2 linked regions of the Struthio camelus genome follow. The protein of the gene in region 1 interacts with the protein of each later gene in a pairwise test. Links are inferred from orthologs where the notes say so. Each region holds a gene or a part of one and is shown on either strand. Other genes may lie near its edges. The genes, in order: WBP11 and C2H5orf22.

What was found.
Region 2: the proteins of WBP11 (region 1) and C2H5orf22 interact in binary tests that used the Homo sapiens proteins (3 or more experiments, as listed by UniProt). The two-hybrid records come from large-scale screens. The link is inferred for Struthio camelus from reciprocal best matches to the Homo sapiens genes WBP11 and C5orf22.

The regions. Positions count from the first base shown.
Region 1 is NC_090942.1:54,901,372-54,910,198, reverse strand, and holds the start of WBP11 (WW domain-binding protein 11), read right to left. Parts: upstream 3,469-8,827; 5' UTR 3,160-3,468; intron 1,552-3,159; 5' UTR 1,494-1,551; coding exon 1,430-1,493; intron 589-1,429; coding exon 557-588; intron 1-556. Other genes in the region: SMCO3 (single-pass membrane and coiled-coil domain-containing protein 3), read right to left, coding at 8,798-8,827. UniProt on the Homo sapiens protein: Activates pre-mRNA splicing. May inhibit PP1 phosphatase activity.
Region 2 is NC_090943.1:91,263,651-91,272,134, forward strand, and holds the start of C2H5orf22 (UPF0489 protein C5orf22 homolog), read left to right. Parts: upstream 1-5,322; 5' UTR 5,323-5,372; coding exon 5,373-5,471; exon of another isoform or gene 5,472-5,475; intron 5,476-5,713; exon of another isoform or gene 5,714-5,870; intron 5,871-8,096; coding exon 8,097-8,242; intron 8,243-8,484. Other genes in the region: DROSHA (ribonuclease 3), read right to left, coding at 563-655, 1,988-2,838.

The sequences.
Region 1 (8,827 bases):
GAGATCAAGGAGATGAGAAAAACGTCACAGAAGAGACAGAACCTTTGTATCAGACTTCTCTCTCCACACTCCCAGCCTGAAGAAAAAGGCATTTCAAAATGCCTTGCTTTTGATTGTACTGTGGCTAGTATTTGCAAAGGTAATTAAAACTACTTGGAGTTTTAATTCCACTCTATTTATAAATGCTTCCATAATTCATTCACTCCAATTAAGATGCACATAATCAGCAAGTTAAACCAAAGGGGTACAATAAAACATACCAACAAATATGTAAGGTTTTTCTAATTTCTAAGAACTTACAATAATGCTTTGAAAAGTCTTAATCATCTCAAGTCTTGGTCATCTCAAGTTAAATAGTAGATTAAAGAGATACTGTTACTCAAAATCGAATTTCTATTTTCTTCAAGTATTTGTTTAAATAGTATTTTCCAAAGTGAATCTTGCACAATCAACTGAAACATCTGCAGTCTACTCATCGGTCATGGCCCATTACTATTACAAACATGATGCACAGTACAGGGGATGCCAAATAAATGTTCCTGTTTGCTTTACTTACCTTCTTTAGTTCCCTTTTCCGAGCTTCCTTGCCTAGAGAGGGAGAAAAAAGGAAAACAAAATAACAACTTGAAAGAGACAATTGCGTCCATGAAGAACCTCTCCCTCAACAGGATTACTGCCTTATTTCTCAACAGCTGACTCTTTACACAAAAACATAAATAAACATTTTTATCTCATCTTCCCATTGAGAAAGCAATAAGGCTAGAAATAAAATTTTATATATAGAAAGAAAAAGATTGGAAATCTCCATGCCTTGTCTGTTTCTATATAGAAAAGAACTACAGACAGCAAGTCATAATGATATTTCCAGTCACGAAAGCATTGCTGCCCAGAAGCCGCCTGTAACAACAGACAATGAATTGCGCTTTAAAACAAAATACGCTTTGAATACACATCTGAAATAAAGCATATTCACAATGGCAGTCTGGGTACTCCTATCTGCTTGGTGTTGATAACAAGCCAAACACATTACCAGAAGAAAAAAACAGCATTAGATGATTTCCTCATCCAGCCAGAGTATTTACAAAATTCAACACATTCCTCAGATTCTAGCTTCAGACAGATTAACCATGCCACAATAAATTTGCAGTTTAGCTGACAGCTAAGTAAAAAGACTTTAGAATATTTATAACTAAAGCAAAAGCTAAGAGGTAAATACAGCACAGCAGCAACAGCATGCAAGCAAGCAGCTTTCTTGGGAATTTTTTTTATACCAGCCAAAATGAAGATAATATTTCTGAAATTTGAGGAAATCAGTTCATATTCACATATGAGGACTTTTCTTCTCAGATAAAGGTTTTTTTGTTCTGTTTTTAAATCTGTCACTCCAGGACCCCACATTCACATCCATTTAGCTTTTACAGATACTTACGGGCCTGATCTGTGGGATTCATGAACTTCCCACTCTTGGTGGATGATGTAGATCTCCGCCCCATTTTGACTTCTTTTCTTCTGTCTCCGAAAAAGAAAAAAAAAAAAGAAAGAGAGAGAGACCTGGAAAAGATAACAGTTTAATATCCTATGCAGCAATAGCTTGAGAATTATTATTCCTCCTCTCCAAATCAGTAGGTTACTCCCCCAAATACTTGTCAGCTCTTCAAATCCCAGTGCAACTTCAGGCATTTATAACAGAATCATCCTATTTTTAATCAACAATCACACAGTTTGTTATTCACTTCAAGAGTCAAGTCAAGAAGCTTCTGGCTTATGTCATTTGGGGAAAGGGTGGAGGGGAAATCACACGTACTATGCTTTTCTAAGAGCACATCAGAGACCTCGTTTTTCATTTACTCCCACAAGAGCTCTCCAGTTTTTCCCCTTTCCAATCCTCTCCATTTCATATGCTTCCCGCAAATTTCCTCCTTTCCTCACTCCTAAGCTGTCCACGATTCCTCTCCTCAGTACACACTGTATCCAGCAACAAGTATTCTGCACACATTCACATCTCTTTCTCCTCACTACAGACTACTGCCATGTTACTGCCCTTATGCTGTCTACCTCCATACATCCAGCAGTATCATTTTAAGCTATGTTAAGATGGGCAGAGAAAGGAAAAATTATTCTAGGAAGAGTTACTTTCTGTCCTCAAACAGTTTTTTAACTTACAGATGACTACAGGGATGTCATAGCTACAGCTGTGCATGCCCCCTTTCTCACAGTTCTAATCTGTATTTTCTTCCCCCTCAACGCAAAACACCACCACAAAAAAAAATACACAGCAGGTTCCACCCCCAAAATTAAAACATCCTCTGAGAACTTTGAGTTGATAGGATGCAGCTTTGGAGTCACCATACTGCACCTAAACAGGCAGTGTCCAAACACAGTGAAAGACTTCACAAGTTCAGTCCAAAGCTCTCGATACCCTTGCTGCAGCTTGCGCTACACGTTCTTCTCCTCTCATTGCAAAAGCTGCCACTTTCAAATCACTACTGATTCATGTACCTCCTCTCATCTACTATAAAGAAATTTAAGCGTAAATCTTATTCAGGATTTCAGCACCTCACAGAATAGATTCCTAACAAGCTCCAAGGACTGACTGCACTCAGTGCACTGATTAGCAGAAGTGCACAGAACTCACGGTTCATACTACCAGACTATGCAAACAGGCCAATTGTGAGCAACAGCACCCCACAATCTGTAATCGCCAATAATACATATTTCCTACTTACAAAAAAAATTACATTGATAGATTTTTTTGTAAGACGTTGCCATTTCTTTCGCTAGGAATGCTTAGAAGATAGATGTAGAGTTGCACATGCACGCTGCACCTCCCAGATTTCTAATATTCATAGAGGAGAGGAACAGAGAGGATAATAAACTTCTTAAATTTAAGTCCTCGATCCCAACTCCTTTAGGGCACAAACCAAAGAGGTTCAACACAACAAGTCAAGAGAGCACAGAATAACCCGGGGATGGGGGAAAATTTATGTTGATTGATCGCTAGGGAAGAGAGGCAGAAAGTGTCCCATGAGGAACACGACAGTCTCCTTCCCCCTCCCCCAATCGGGGGGGGGGGGTGGAAGGGGGAGAGAAGAGAGGGTAGTACCCTATGCCGCCTTCCCCTGCCCGCTTCACCTCCCCTCCCAGCGCCGCTCCTCTCACCCTGCGCCTGGCCGGGCCGCGCGGCTCCCTCCCGCCGCCGCCGCGGCCTCTATAACGGCCGCGCTTCTCGCTGCTGCGGCCGCGCCGCCATCTTGAACCGGGACCGAGTGGCGCGCCGCCGTAAAGCGCGACTGCCGTGCCGCGCCGCCCAGAACCGCGCTCCGGAAGTAGCAGCCTAGCGCGCCATTTCGGACTCTATGATTCCGCTCCTCTTCTCTTCCTCTATGGTTCGGCGGGCGGGCGGGGTGGGGTCGCGCGGCGGAGGGGACAGGCCCGCACCGCCCCGCGAGGGCGGGGCGGGGCGGGGCTCGGTGCGCCGCGCGCGGGCCCGGGGCCACGTGACCTGGGTGTCCGTTAGGCGCGGCCGTTGCCTCAGGGGCCTCAGGCAGGGGAGGCGCTCTAGCTCTGGGCGGGGGGAAGCGGGTCTCTCCCTGCCCCTGGGAGCCAGGGGGGGCAGCGAGGGCAGGCTGTGCGGCTGGAGGGGAGGGAAAGCTCAGGGAGGAGGTCATACCCTGACAGGGAATTATCTGAAAGAAAAAACTGGGGAGGCAGGAGGCACGGAAGGTGCTCGGGGTGGAGTGGGATTACAAAAACTGGGAGGTTAAAAAAAGAGAGGAGAAGGGTAGGGAAAGGTGTGCAGAGTGAGCCTGGGTGGTGTGATGTTCGGGCTGTAGCATCTGGGGTTACAGTTTAAACTGATGATGGTTTGACTGCTTTGGGAGGAAAAGGCAATATAAGTTTGAGCCTTTATGAGATTTTTTTCACTGTTTAATAGATGCTAGGCAGAGGTTATTTTCCCTCTGAGCAACAAATAGGCATGTTTCAATCTGTTTCAGTTTTTCCCTTGGTAAGCTCGTATGCTAGAAGGAAATGGCCATAAAAGAGGTAGAGTAGCATCTTCAGCAGTTCAGTGAATATTTCCCAGTCTTAGGAAGGAGAAGAACGTCAATTCTGTAAGACAAAATGTAAACCTCTGGGGGGAACTCTGGTACAGTCAGCTCCTTATAATTTCTCCGCCAATATTGCCAGTGCCGGAAATAATCCAGGTGTTACAGACATGGTGAATGGGATCTTCCAACTCTAAACAGGGCATTCCCCCCAGTGCTTGCTTGGGGAGATCCTACAAAATGTTGCCCTTTCCTGGAACAAAGTAGGATTGCAGGTCATGGGAGAAGCCTTTGTTTGTAGGGAATAGAAGCAAAGCCCAAAGGAGTTTGTGGTAATTCCAGATGTACTCAGGAAGCGGGGTTAGTGATCAGTGCATCTGCAGTAGGATGTTACATGGGTTTGTTTTTGTATTCGGCCTGAAGTGAACACTGCTCCACTGTGAGCGTTTATGCATGGCACGCCTCTTAGACTCATGTGACAACTCCTGCTTCAGGGGATGCTGGATCAAAAAAGTGGCTGAATGATATTCACCAGGTAACATGGGCTGTACGAAGAGATTAGGAGAGCTAGTTTCCCACCAGCAGAGAGCACAGGAGCTACTCTCCTTGCTTGCCTTTTCCTGCAGCCCCACCATGAAAGCCCCTAAAGCAAACTGGTGATCAGCTTTGCAGAAGCTGATGGACACTCTGCGGTAACTGTTTTCACTGCACAAAGTGTCTCTCCTCAAAAAGTCCCCAGATACAAGCACGCATGAAGGACCAGGATAAAAAAATACATGGAACATCTCCTTGGCTAATAGTTGTATCAGTGTGAATAAGAAGGGGGGAAGCAGCATAGTGTGAGTGCAGGCTAAAAGAATTAACACCCCAGGGGAGGGAGAGTCAGAAGGACGTTTTTCTGCACAGAGATGCACCTAGGAGCTAGTTGGGGAGGCTTGCACAGATGGTCTGATCTCTCAGTATGGGTGATGGATCCCCTGGTTGGGGTGGACGGGCAGTGTTACACCACAGTGTTAGGGCTTTTCAAATGATGAAGACTTGGTTGACAAACTTGGAACATTACTAAGAATCACTGCAGGGTGGATAAAAGCAAGACTATGAACTAAGCATCATGTTGACACCAATATTAGTCACAAACTATACAATACCTAAGGTAGCAGATGGCCAGTCCAGCAGCATCTACAGAGCCAGGGTTCTGAGAGCTCCCAGTGCCCGGGAAGTCCTGCTCACCATGTACGTAACACCTTTTGGGCAGGTTCTTTTGTATTGTTCTTGTTACTGCGTAGAATTAGCTGCAGGGCAGATTTTGATTGCAGCAATCCACTGTTTCTACACAGGTGTGAAAACAGTTTACACTGCTTTGGGCTGCTTTGTGGTTCCTTTTCTTCTTTGAGCTTGTTCTTATTTAAAAACTATGATATACAGTTTTAATTTTTAATCCTCTGTTCACAACAAATGACTGAGCAGAGGGAGAGCGCTTGAGGGGCTGTGATGGGAACCTTATGGCCATGCACGTCAAATCTTTGTCCGGTACATGAAAGGAGTGCGATATCATTAGAGAGGGAGGTACCAATGCTTTGCAAATTGCCTATTCCTCATGGGCTGGGCCTGTTGTCATGACAGTACTGGGCTGAGGGGTGGGGGGGGGAATGTGTTAGTGCAGCAGCCCTAACTTAGATTTCTCCCAGCGGTCTTTGCTGACTTGGAGCTCAGCAGGAGCTAGATTACAAAGGATGTCAAGCACAGGCATCTCCAAGCACCTCAAGTGACGAGCTGGGTTCAGGGCAGCTCCATGTCAAAAGCCACAAAAGTTGCACATGGGCAGTGTAGTGCCCTACTCACAAGTACTCAGTTGTTGGAGATAAATTTCTGGACCTGATATATCCACACCAAACACATACTTGGTCATGTATATAGATGTCCTGTAAGAAATGCTGCCAAACAGCTACTAGAGGAGAAATATGGTCCAGCCCGTGTAATTCCCATGCAACCTGTGTCCACATTACAATAGCCCTCTCAGATTTCACTTGGCATGAATGTACTTTTGTCACTCCAAGAGGTAGCACCAGCAGGTCTAGAGTAGAGGCATGAGCAGTTTGGCCCCAAACTGGCTATGGCATCTGGCAAGAGAGAGCAGATAATCATTTCCTATTTTGAGGGGCAGTATTTCAGTTACCTATCAGACACAGAGCAAGCTAGGCTGTTTCTGCTCTGCTGGACGCTCTGCCTTGCATTTAGCCAGTTGAATGCATGCTGCACTGAGTTCAAGAACCAATAACTAATGACAAGGAATACATAACTGTCAGTAATACAGGCAAATCCCAGACAATTTCTTATTCCTGGAGTTGAGGGAAAGAGTTTGGGAAGGTTCCAGGCTGATCTGCAGGTTTCTTACCTCGAAACAGCCTTGTCTGGCTGTAGCCTCTGTGAGGTCACGACCCTGTCCTAGCTCATAGAGATGCTGGCCAGGCCTCTGTGAGGTCATGGCCTCCTGCTCTATAAGCAGGAGCCTGCGGGCTGCCAACGTCCTCAGCATCTTTAACATCTTGTGGACATGAGGACACCTTCCACATCTGCTTTCTCAAGGAACCCCTCTTTCCGTTGAGCCCACCAGCAACAAGGATCTCCCAGGAGGTGGATGGCAACTGTATATCTTTACGTACTTTGTTGCGTATGCCCATCGCCCGACATGGCTTAGAATTTGCTTTAAAGAAAATGTGGACAAACTGCCTGAGAAATATGATAGATGTCCCTTTGTTCGACTCCAATATTCTCCTACAACAGTGATTGGCAGCTTCACAAAGGTATGTACTGAGCTGGCGTTTCTTCTTCCTAAATTAGAATGTACAGATGCCCATCGAAAAAGAGCACAAGCTGGGACTTCCTGGTTCTCCAAAACCCAAAATGTTACTGATCTGCTGATTGGCAGTGTCTTGCCTCTGAGCAAGTGATAACCCCCTGTTTCTACTGAGTGCCACACTTACAAGGAGCTAGGAAAAGCTGTATCTGAGAGAAACAAGAGGCTTCAGGTCACCATGTCACCGGAATACCTTGTGCCTAGGCAGGGCAGCGCTTTTTGCCTCTCCAGACCCACCTCACCCAGGCTGCGGCTTGTGTTTGCCCCACTTGTCAGGCCAGCAGTGCCATCGCTGGCACTCACCCAAGCTCCCGAGCCAGGGCTTCTTCCCTGATGGCTGCCAGAGCTGCTTACCAGCCATGGGCTGCAAATGAGAATAAAAGCAAAGAGGGGCCTGAAGAAATGATTAAAAGTGGGAAAAATGGGGGGAAAAAATGAAAGGGTTAAGAAGAGAATGAACAGCTTTTCTGTTATAACTCACCTATCTGTTTACTTTCATAGGCACAATCTAGTTATTATCATCATCATTTAATATTGCTAATACTGCTAATATTAATAAACATGTGTGAATTTGAATATGCTTTTAGTGTGGGGGAGGCTGGTACTAAAACTGTACCTATGCACAGGCCTACTATAATAACCTGTCCTGGGTAGGAATAGTAATTTTTAAATTGCATCTTTAATGAAGATTTTAATATTTTTTCTTTGTAAGTACACCATATGATTTGGCTTCAGATTGATGTCTGAGACAGAACAAAAAAAGTAGAACAAGTACAGGTAGGAGAGCTCTTACAATGTTTAGATGAATTTTTTTTATTAATTTTTAAATTAACTTTTTTCTTCAAAGAACAAAGCAAAAAAGCAAACCACAGTAAATCAGAGAAAGAGACTACAAATCATGTTCTTGCTTCTAGCTTTTTGTTTTTAAAATCAACTGCATAAGGACTTTTGCTAACATGTTGTGAAATGCAGGATTTGAGTATGCTCTTGGCACAAGGTGGCTTGTGAAGCACTTGAAAATAAATTCAACAGCATGTCTGTGATCTAGAGCTATGATCCTGCAAATACTTGCACACGTGTATAATCCCATTTCAACTAACAGCATAGCAAACGTGCCCAGAACTAAGTACCTGTGGGTTGGCAGGAGCAGGGCGTTACTGAGCATAAGAGATTATACACAGACAGCTGGAACCTAGCTCACTGGAGCTGATTTCTCTCAGTTGTGGGGCAGGGTCGTGTTTGTTTGTCTGCAGGCACATGATTTTCCTGCCTGCTAATCTACTAAGATTAGAATTTATTTAAAGAAGATCTCTGGCAGACCCCTTGGGACAAGAATAGGACAGGAAATAGCAGTTAAATATGCTTCAGCAAATCCTTAAGAGCACTTCTGTGAAAGGGGAATTCAGCATATCAGAATTAGTGCTAATCCACACTAAGCAAGTTTAGCCAGTACAGCTGTTCCCAATGAACCCTCCAGATGATGATGTGGGTTTGTTTGTTGAAATCGTTTTCTCCCATCATGATGTCACCTTTGCTGTAGAAACACAATAAGAAGAAGATTGTGCTTTCTAGCCACTACTGCTCCAGCAGTGAAATTATTGTCATTAGTACTAGTTATGTTTCAGGGTTGTTAACTACAATGCCTTCCAGAAAACTGCTGAACAAAAAAGCTGGCAAGTATTTGAACTATTGCCTTGCAGAAGTACCCTTAAGCCAATTCCTTATTGATATATTTATGTTCTAGTTCCCTTGTCTGTCACATCTCTTGTTCTGTTGCCACTAGAAAGGAAAAAATACCTCTACAGTGGGGGAAAAAAAATCATTTTACCATAATGAATCAAAAAAGTTTAGCAGACGCAGCTGCTGCAGTCGCTGTCATGGCAGGAGCGAGCATTCATTGAGCCTGATGTCTCACTAGGGAAGT
Region 2 (8,484 bases), on another chromosome or scaffold:
TGTATCCAAAGGATTATACACAAGCTACCTTGCTTGTGTTAATCTAACTCTTGTACTCCTCCGTACAACGCAATCTATGATATTTCTTATGTATTGCTAGGGTAATGCTTTGGGGAAGCTGAATATAGGAAAACTGCTTTTTTTATTCCTCTGCCTACAAAGCCAATAAATCATATTGCACTGAAATCAATTACCAAGGATTTGGAAGTAAAGGAACAACAATACAAGAAAAGTTCCTAAAAGGTATTCTAAATATAGCATGACTTTAAATAATCTTGGTTCTTTTATATATAGACTAGAAGCAGATGTAAGAGGGAGTCTTCAGAATAACGCAGGGAAGCCCTCTTACCAGACCAAAAAAAAAAAAAAATCCTGTTTCTAACTCTACAAGGCCTTGATAACAGTGACTTTGAACATATATGGAGATGGTTATATTCCTAAGACTCAAGTTCTTTCTGAGTTTCAGACCAGTCAGATATGCACTTATTATACATGCACAAGTACACACGTGTGCATGCACCGAGCCTCTTAAGCATGTGAAAGACCAAATGTACCACCTTACCTTCCTGTTCTCTTGTAATCCTTTTTGTAGGATCTGTCTGGTGATGGTGATCTTCTGCTATCACGGTGCCTATGCCTCTCCCTCTCCCGCTCCCTTAAGGAATTTAAAACATAGGTTAAATAAGAAATGTGGCATTTCTTACAATTCACACCTGAAAGGAGCACAGAAGCAGGATGAGATCATTTGCCAGTATTGTTCAACATGACACGTGTGCCAACTGCTACACTTAAAGAAGCCTAGAAACTCTTACTGCTGACCTTCAAGAAATTTGGAATAGATAGTCAAAGTGGCTTCATTTCCAGAGACACTAAGTGTAAATCCATGTTTCACATGTGACGTGGCAAACCTCAGATCTTCTACAAATAGACCATGTGATCTAGGTGCACTGGCAAAAATTTAGATTCTTAACTTTCAGGTATCTCATTTTGAAAATCCTGACCTAAATCATTAGTCACAAAGAAAGGCATTGAGAGAGCAAATCAAAGAGATGAGGAAGACAAAACTGGCAATGGTTTGCTCTAAAACACTATGCAGCAAACTGCTCAGGTCAACTCTTGATTCATGAGCTGCTTTTATCTATGAGGCAGAGGGGCAGAAGCTTCATGAGACACCCCAAAATAAGCTGCTCACATTCATCCCTCTGAGTCATAAGAGGATGACAACACAGCCTACAAGTTCTCTGTTCATTTGGACTACTGCATGCTGATTTTCACCTCAGTCCTCTGCAGATCACAGGCTCCTTGCTGAGGTCTTCATCCTCAACAGAATCACACAGGCAGGTCTACACATCCACTGGGACGGAGGTGTCATGAAGCCCACGCACGCTTGCGCAGGTCTCCCATGAAGACATGGATGCAGCGGAATGAAGGACACTCTGCAACATTCTTTTCACTAGAAAACTCATTGCCAGTTTTCAGGAATCAGACTTGTGCATCTATCGGACTGTAAACCCCCCAATGAATGCTGGCTATCTACAAAACGCGGGGCTTACTCAAAGCAGGGCCGTGCCCAAGTAACAAGCCGTATTCCAAGTCTGGTACCCAAATCTCGAACTTTGAAATACTAGGACTTATCCATTTATAAGGCTGAGATTTTGAACGTAGTCTTTTGCATAAACTTGTGCCTACTCTGCTTTCAGAACACAACTGCTTAAGTTTCTGTGGTAAACCCCACTGACAGCAGAGTGCTACTCAACAAGCCACTCCGGGCTCGCTTCCAGCTTCTTCAGTGGACAAGGGGAGCAAGTTTACCTGCCTGCAAAGATGGGGCAGAAACAACGTAGCTGGAAGACCGGAAAAGCCCTGAGCGTTGACTACATCCTAAGCTAGGAGAAAACAACATGGCCGAGGGATGGACACCTGATTCAACCAATCTGTAGAAGGGAGACCACGTCTCGCTCTGCAGGCAGAAGATAGGCCAAGTTACCTGCTACGCTCATAACTTCTATGGTGAGGTGATATTCTTCCTCTGTCATAATCTGTCCGGTGCCGACTGCTTTCTTGCCTCCTCCTGTCTGGACTCCGGCCTCGATCCCGCCGGTCCCCATGGTTATTCGACCGATGCCTGTCACTGTGGAGGTGCCCATGCTCACGATGCCGGTGCTCGTCGTAATGCTTGCTCCTCTCTGGAGACCGTCGATCGCTTTGCGACTTCTCTGCCTGGTACTGACCCGTGTGCCGAAAATGGCTGTTGCCGCCACTGCTGTTGGTAGCGCTGCTCTGGAAAGAGCTGGAATTGTGCTGATAGCTATTGAAGTTCGGAGGGGGGAATGACTGCTGTGAATACCCTGCGGAGTAAACAGGCTGGTAGTTGACTTGCTGCGGTATGACTGGGGGTGGGGGAGGATGCGGTACTGTCGGGGGCGGCATCATGTAAGGAAATGTGTTTTGCCCCGTCGGAGTTCCTGGCACAGGAGTATTGCTAGGATTTGGCACTGGTGGAGGAGCGGGAGGGAAGCACGGAGGCACTGGGAAACCCTGCCTCATCTGATGGTTTGGAAAAGGTGGCCTCATGGGACACTGGCTGATGGGACTCTGTGTGGAAGGGGGCACTGGAGGAGGATACGGCACAAAGTCTGGCCTGGGAGGCATGTAACCAGTGGCTGGAGGGTTTGAATAGGTTGTCGGAGGGGCCGTTTGCTGGTCATACTGGTATTGCACAGAGGGCTGCTGTGGGTGAAGCTGCCGTAGGTTCTGAGGTCGGTAGGTCTGTGTTGAAGTTCGTGCTCCTGGTCCCCCCTGGCCGCGGGGACACCCTCGTCCGGAATGGAAAGACATGGCTCACCTTTAAAGAAGAAAATAAATAAATGTACAGTGTCACAAAGTTTTTCTATGAGGTTCTTTGGAAGTAGTTCCAGGAAATGCACAAAGTGCTTAAATTATGATTTCTGCAGTTTCTTTTAATAGGAGCAGCAGATGACGACCACTGGCTTTCATTGTGAGCTTTGTGCTCCTCAGTGCTGTAGTACAGGTCATTATTCCCCCAAGATTCCCCTAAGTCTCTAATCCACTAATGCACTCTCCTGCCTCTAATCCAGAATCCAGGTGGGACCATACCCTCATGGTCATGGATGCTTTAATATAAAGTCTTCAGACACCCACACCAAAGAGATCGCTCATTTTAACAAAGGTAGGAGTCATCCAAGGTCTTACATCAAGGAGTTCTTCCTAGAACACTATTCTAAACTTCAGGTAGAACAACTTTACTAACATGCCATCGTGAGTTGCCTGGTCCAGTGAAAAAAAATCACATAAATCTTAAACAAGATAATGGGAATTTATATTCACAGTTAAGTCCCAATTTCGTACAGGACTGAATTCAACAGATATTTTAAAGTTAGGTACATAAAAATTTACTGTGACCCACAAAAACGTACGTGGACTGTGGTTTGTTCCAATTTCAATAAACAAACATTTTCAAAATTCCTGAAGTACCTAATTGGCCGTGTTACCTTGCTGGCAATAGGCACTGCTCTAAGCGGGCTGAAGTCTTGCTCAAAAGCATGTGTTGTATGTAATGTACTACGGTATTAAAGTTTAAAAATGAAAACTGCTGTGGCATATTGAAGTTAAAATTAGTTTTTCATTAAAATGTTCAAAATTCAAAAACTGGGAAAAAGGAAAAAATATTTAAAATAAAACATCAACAATGATATGTTGGGTGGAAGGGAGGGAGAGAGGGGGAAAAAAACAGTTGATCCTGCAGCTGCAAATGTCAAATCCTGTTCTCTATAAGAGAGAGACACATAAACACGTATGCGGAAAGATCACCAGACACAGAAAACAAAGCCTCCTTTTTACAGTGGCTTTACCGATGCAGAAGTACACATAGGGAATAGTCTCCCACCTGCTACCCTGTAACCCGGCAAACGTGGGCTGCTCAGAGTACTACTTTTGGCTGCATTCTGGTCCCAGCGCTGCAAAGGATGAAGCTTGCTGACTGATGCCAGACTTCTGCTAGTGAACCGAAGGGAAAAAACGGAAAAGAAATGAAACAGGGGGAAAGGATGCACATTGAGGAAGAGGTACCAGGAGGACCCCAAGTCTCCCGTCCCATGCTCAGGGCTTGGTTGAAGCCACTGGAAGTGGTGGTGGGGCATTTCCTCCCTCGTTTGAGCAAGTGGACAACAAAGGCCAGCAGGATAAGGGCGGATCAACACGTTTCTAGGAGGTAGCAGACATGTAAAGCCACTGACTGATTCCTTCCAGGCAACCCCGGTCTGTTCAGTACCCTCAGGTCTTTTAAAGGGTCTCAAAAAGAAATGACAGGGAAAAAAAAATCTACTCCACACCTTCACGAGTTTGTCTGGCAGCAGCGCTACTTTCTGTCATCCTTAATTCTAGTCCATTAAACGCTGGACCATTTTTCCTCAGGTCAGCAGTTATAACTCACCTAGCGCAGGCTTCTGCCAGTACACTGTTTTGTGCTTTGCTGACATTTACATACAAATTTTATTTAAACAGGCTGAGCCAATCTTTTATCCCCTTGAATGAAGTAAAGGGAAACCCACTGTACTGTACTGTACTGGTGCCTTAACGTAAGGCACGTTTCTTCTTAACACGTGCCAGTGCATTCAAACAAAAGGTCTCCTTTACCAGCTCTCTCCGAGCTTATCTGCACCTTCAGAGGTTTCCTCTGGTTTCTGCGATCACAGTTCAAGCACTTCAGAACGCACCGAAACGCAGAGCCAAAGGCAGCAGGGAAGGCAAAAAAAAAAAAAAAAAAATTATTTCAGGTTATTTTAAAGCTCCCGCTGCTGCAATTTTTCACCGCGTTCAGGTTCGCTTTGAACTTCAGTGGGAAAAAACCGATGACGAGTCATGCCCTTCCTTCCACCCACAAAGAGAAACCCGTTGCGCCACACGGACACGGACACGCGCGGACACCCGCCCCGGCGCAGGGCCGGCGCGACGGGGCCCTGCCCTCAGGGCGGCCCGGGCCGGCACCGCCCGCCGCCTGCCCTCAAACGGCGCCAGTTTCGCCCGCGCGGGAAGGGCAGGTTTACGCACGGCCGGCGATCACCGCAGCGGCAACGACCGCCAGCCGCCGCCGAGCCCCGCGCGGCGCCCCGGCCGCCCCTCGGCCAGCGGGGCTGCGCCATCACAACGGCCCGCGGGGCCACGTCGCCACGGCGGCGGTCGATGCGCTGCTTCGCCCCGGCCCGGGAGGGGCACGCACCCGCGCAGCCCACCTGCTGCCCCGCCGCCGCCGCCGCCGCCGCCCGCGCCGGCTCCGGAAGAGGAAGGCGCGGGGCGGGGCGCCGCGGGCGGAAGCCGCCGCCGCCACCCGGAGGGAGCCGGGCCGCCGTGACATGAGCGGTGGGGGCCGCCCGCCCGGGGAGCGCCCCGCCGGGGCCGGCCGGAGGGCCTACCCGGTGCTGCCGGTGTGGGTGGTGGAGGACCACCAGGATGTGAGTGAGTGCGCGGCGCGCCCGGCCCAGCCCCAGGCCCGTCACTTCAGCGGGTGCAGCCGCCTCCCGGGGCCCCACCACCATCCCCCCCGCCGGGGTCCCGGCCCGGCCCGGCCCGGCCGCCCCTCGGGTAGTAGCGGCAGGGGAGAGGCGGGTCGCGGCCTTTCTCTGGGCCGTGGGTATTTGGGGGGGTTAAAAAAAAAAACAAACCCTTTTCTGTCTTTCTCGGTTTCTTCTTCCAGCCGTGCCCGCTGCCCTGGGGGCGCGAAAACCAGCCTCCTCGGGCCGGTCTGGCTAGTGGCACACGAGTGAAGTTCAGTGTCCAGATGATGTGGAGCCCCGTCGTGATCCAGTGATGCATGTAGCTGGTGCCATTAGGGCAGGCTGGTGGGGTTTTAAGTAGTTATTTCACTCTCTTTCTCTTTTTTTTTTTTTTTCCCCCATGGTTTCTGTGTTTAAAAGAAAATAACACCCACGTTTTACTGCTTCTGGAATTAGCTAGGTCCTAGCGTACTGCTTAGAAACTCAGGCCTACGCAACGTATGAGGCACACTCTAACCAGCACATTGACTGTCAGTAGCTGAGAGATGTCAAATTTGGTGCTTTATATTATTTGTTTGCTTGTTTTTAATGATAGCTAGTTTAAAAAGGCAATCCTTTGCAAAGGATTGCTTTTGAAGTGCTGTTTCTGGTTTCTCAGAGAGTTTCTTTATTATAGCACAAGTTGAGGCTGTAATCCAAAGTAAGCAAATTCTTTACCCAAAGGCACAAAAGCCCACTAATTTCAGCAAGCATTTCTGGGGCATAAAGAACTGGTGGAGAAAAAAATGAAAAGCATTAACTCTATTGCTGTTTTGCAAAAGCACTAGCGTGATACAGTTTATTAAGGGAAACGTTATTCTGAACTTGAAAGTAGATAATTTAATGAGGATTATTTTTGCCAAGACTCGCTGAAATGGTTGATGCTGTGGTGGCTGGTTTTCTGCAGTAACCACGGACTAAGAGTGTCACTGTAATAGAAGTACTGAGATAATGTCTGTTAATAATTCTTCTTTATTTTGCTTTCAGTACTTCTCTTTTGAATTAGGTTAACAAAGACTCTTCCTACCAAATATATATGCTGTACTTTCAATATATGTATGTATATACATTGATCTGTCTTATATAAAACGTGTATAGGCTTTTACCTCAAAGCGTAAGAACTTCCCAGAAACTATGTATAGTCCAGATGAATTACTGACGTTGAAGTTTCTCTGGGGGTAGATGACACTAGAGGCACCATGCTTTGATTAATAATAACAGCTAGCGGGAAGGGAATTTTGTTCTCAACCCAAAGCAGCAGAACTTGCAATGTAAGGGACTCTAGGCTTTTGTCTCCTCCCTCATCCTGCTCTGTTTTCAGAATTTGCGCTAACACTTCCATGAGATTAAACTAATTTCACCTGTCAACATTGTAGGTTGTACAGGTAGGCCATTTGCCTTTTGTGAAGAACTGGAAATCATAGATCAGAGAATCACTGTTATTTTCAACCTTATTTTTATCTATTATTACAGTAGGATATATATCATTGCATAAGTAGTGGGAAAACTGAGAATTTATAGCCGGTCTGGTGAAATACAATCCAAATTTCAACTAAGTGTCAGATTTTATGGTTATGTACACTCACTATTCAGGATTTGTGATCTTAATCAGTTTTATGCTTAAAAAGTAGCTCAGTTTGCATTTAAATACAGAGATCCCGTGTAGCTTATATTGCCCAGTCTTTTTATAGTTTTCATGCTCCCTGTATAGTAGCGATCTGGTTCACAATTCTTGCTAGATTTGTTCTGGCAGCTAAGGCAGTTACCGGCCTGTAACTGTGGGAGAAGCTCCGTCTACTGCAGCTCAGTGTAAGAAGGATCGTGAATTAGCCTTCAGTTGTCTCATCCCACTTGACAGTATTGCACATCAGTGCTTTGTTATGCCGTAAATTGACACATCTACCCATCTGCTTTTCTCACTTTTAAGTGGGCAGCTGGGGAAGGTAGTCTTTTCATTGCAGCCGCTAAGTCCTGCAGGGATTGGGAATTAAACTTTTTCTCCAGAGGAATAGGTTTAAAGATCAGCTAAAGCTTAAATGGTAGCCGGGTCAGTTTTCACCCTGTATCAGTTAACATTTTGTTAGTGGGGCTTCAGAAGTTTGTATCTCCGCAGCCCCATGCATAGGTTGTGGCTAAGCTTTATAGCATGGAAAAGGAAGTGTAGGGGGTAATCTTCAGCGGAAGAGAGACGGCATTTCTGGGGATCAGTTGAAAAGAAAAAAACTAGGCAGTGTATTAAATTATTAATCAGAAGAGCTACTACAAACAAGACTTCCTATAAGGAAGAAAAGAAAGAGTAAAGCTATGATTCTGCAGCAACTGGCCATGTATGAAACTCTTGGGTTCATAGTGATTCACGGTTCTTCGGCTGTCTTGCTGTTGGAGTGGTATCCCTTTGTTTTCAGTCTCCTTCTCCTTCTCCCAAGAAATAATCCAAATTCAAAAGAAGCAAAGAGGAGAGGGGCTGGTATTTTTGCTATTAACGTCATTGCGTTTTTCAGCTTGCTGGTTATAACTGAAATATTTTTGTTCGTATTGTTTTAGGTTCTGCCTTTCATCTATCGCGCCATTGGTTCAAAGCACCTTCCTGCCAGTAACATCAGCTTTGTTCATCTTGACTCCCATCCAGACCTCCTTATTCCCGTAAATATGCCAGCAGACACCGTATTTGACAAAGAAGCTCTTTTTAGGTAAAGTCCTGTGTACTGCATCAGAATACCTGAAGTCCACTTCTTGCTACCTTTGATTTACAGTCCGTATTCGTTTAACTTTTCATACAGCAGGTGTAAAGCAGCCCCAAGTTGTGTCTTCCATCCTTTCACTTTTGCTGAACACTTTGGTTTTTTTGTGGGGAGGAAGTTATGTGTGTGCTTTATGAGTGTGGTCAAATATTTATGTTGCATATCAAGAAAACCTGAGACTTGCGAATTTA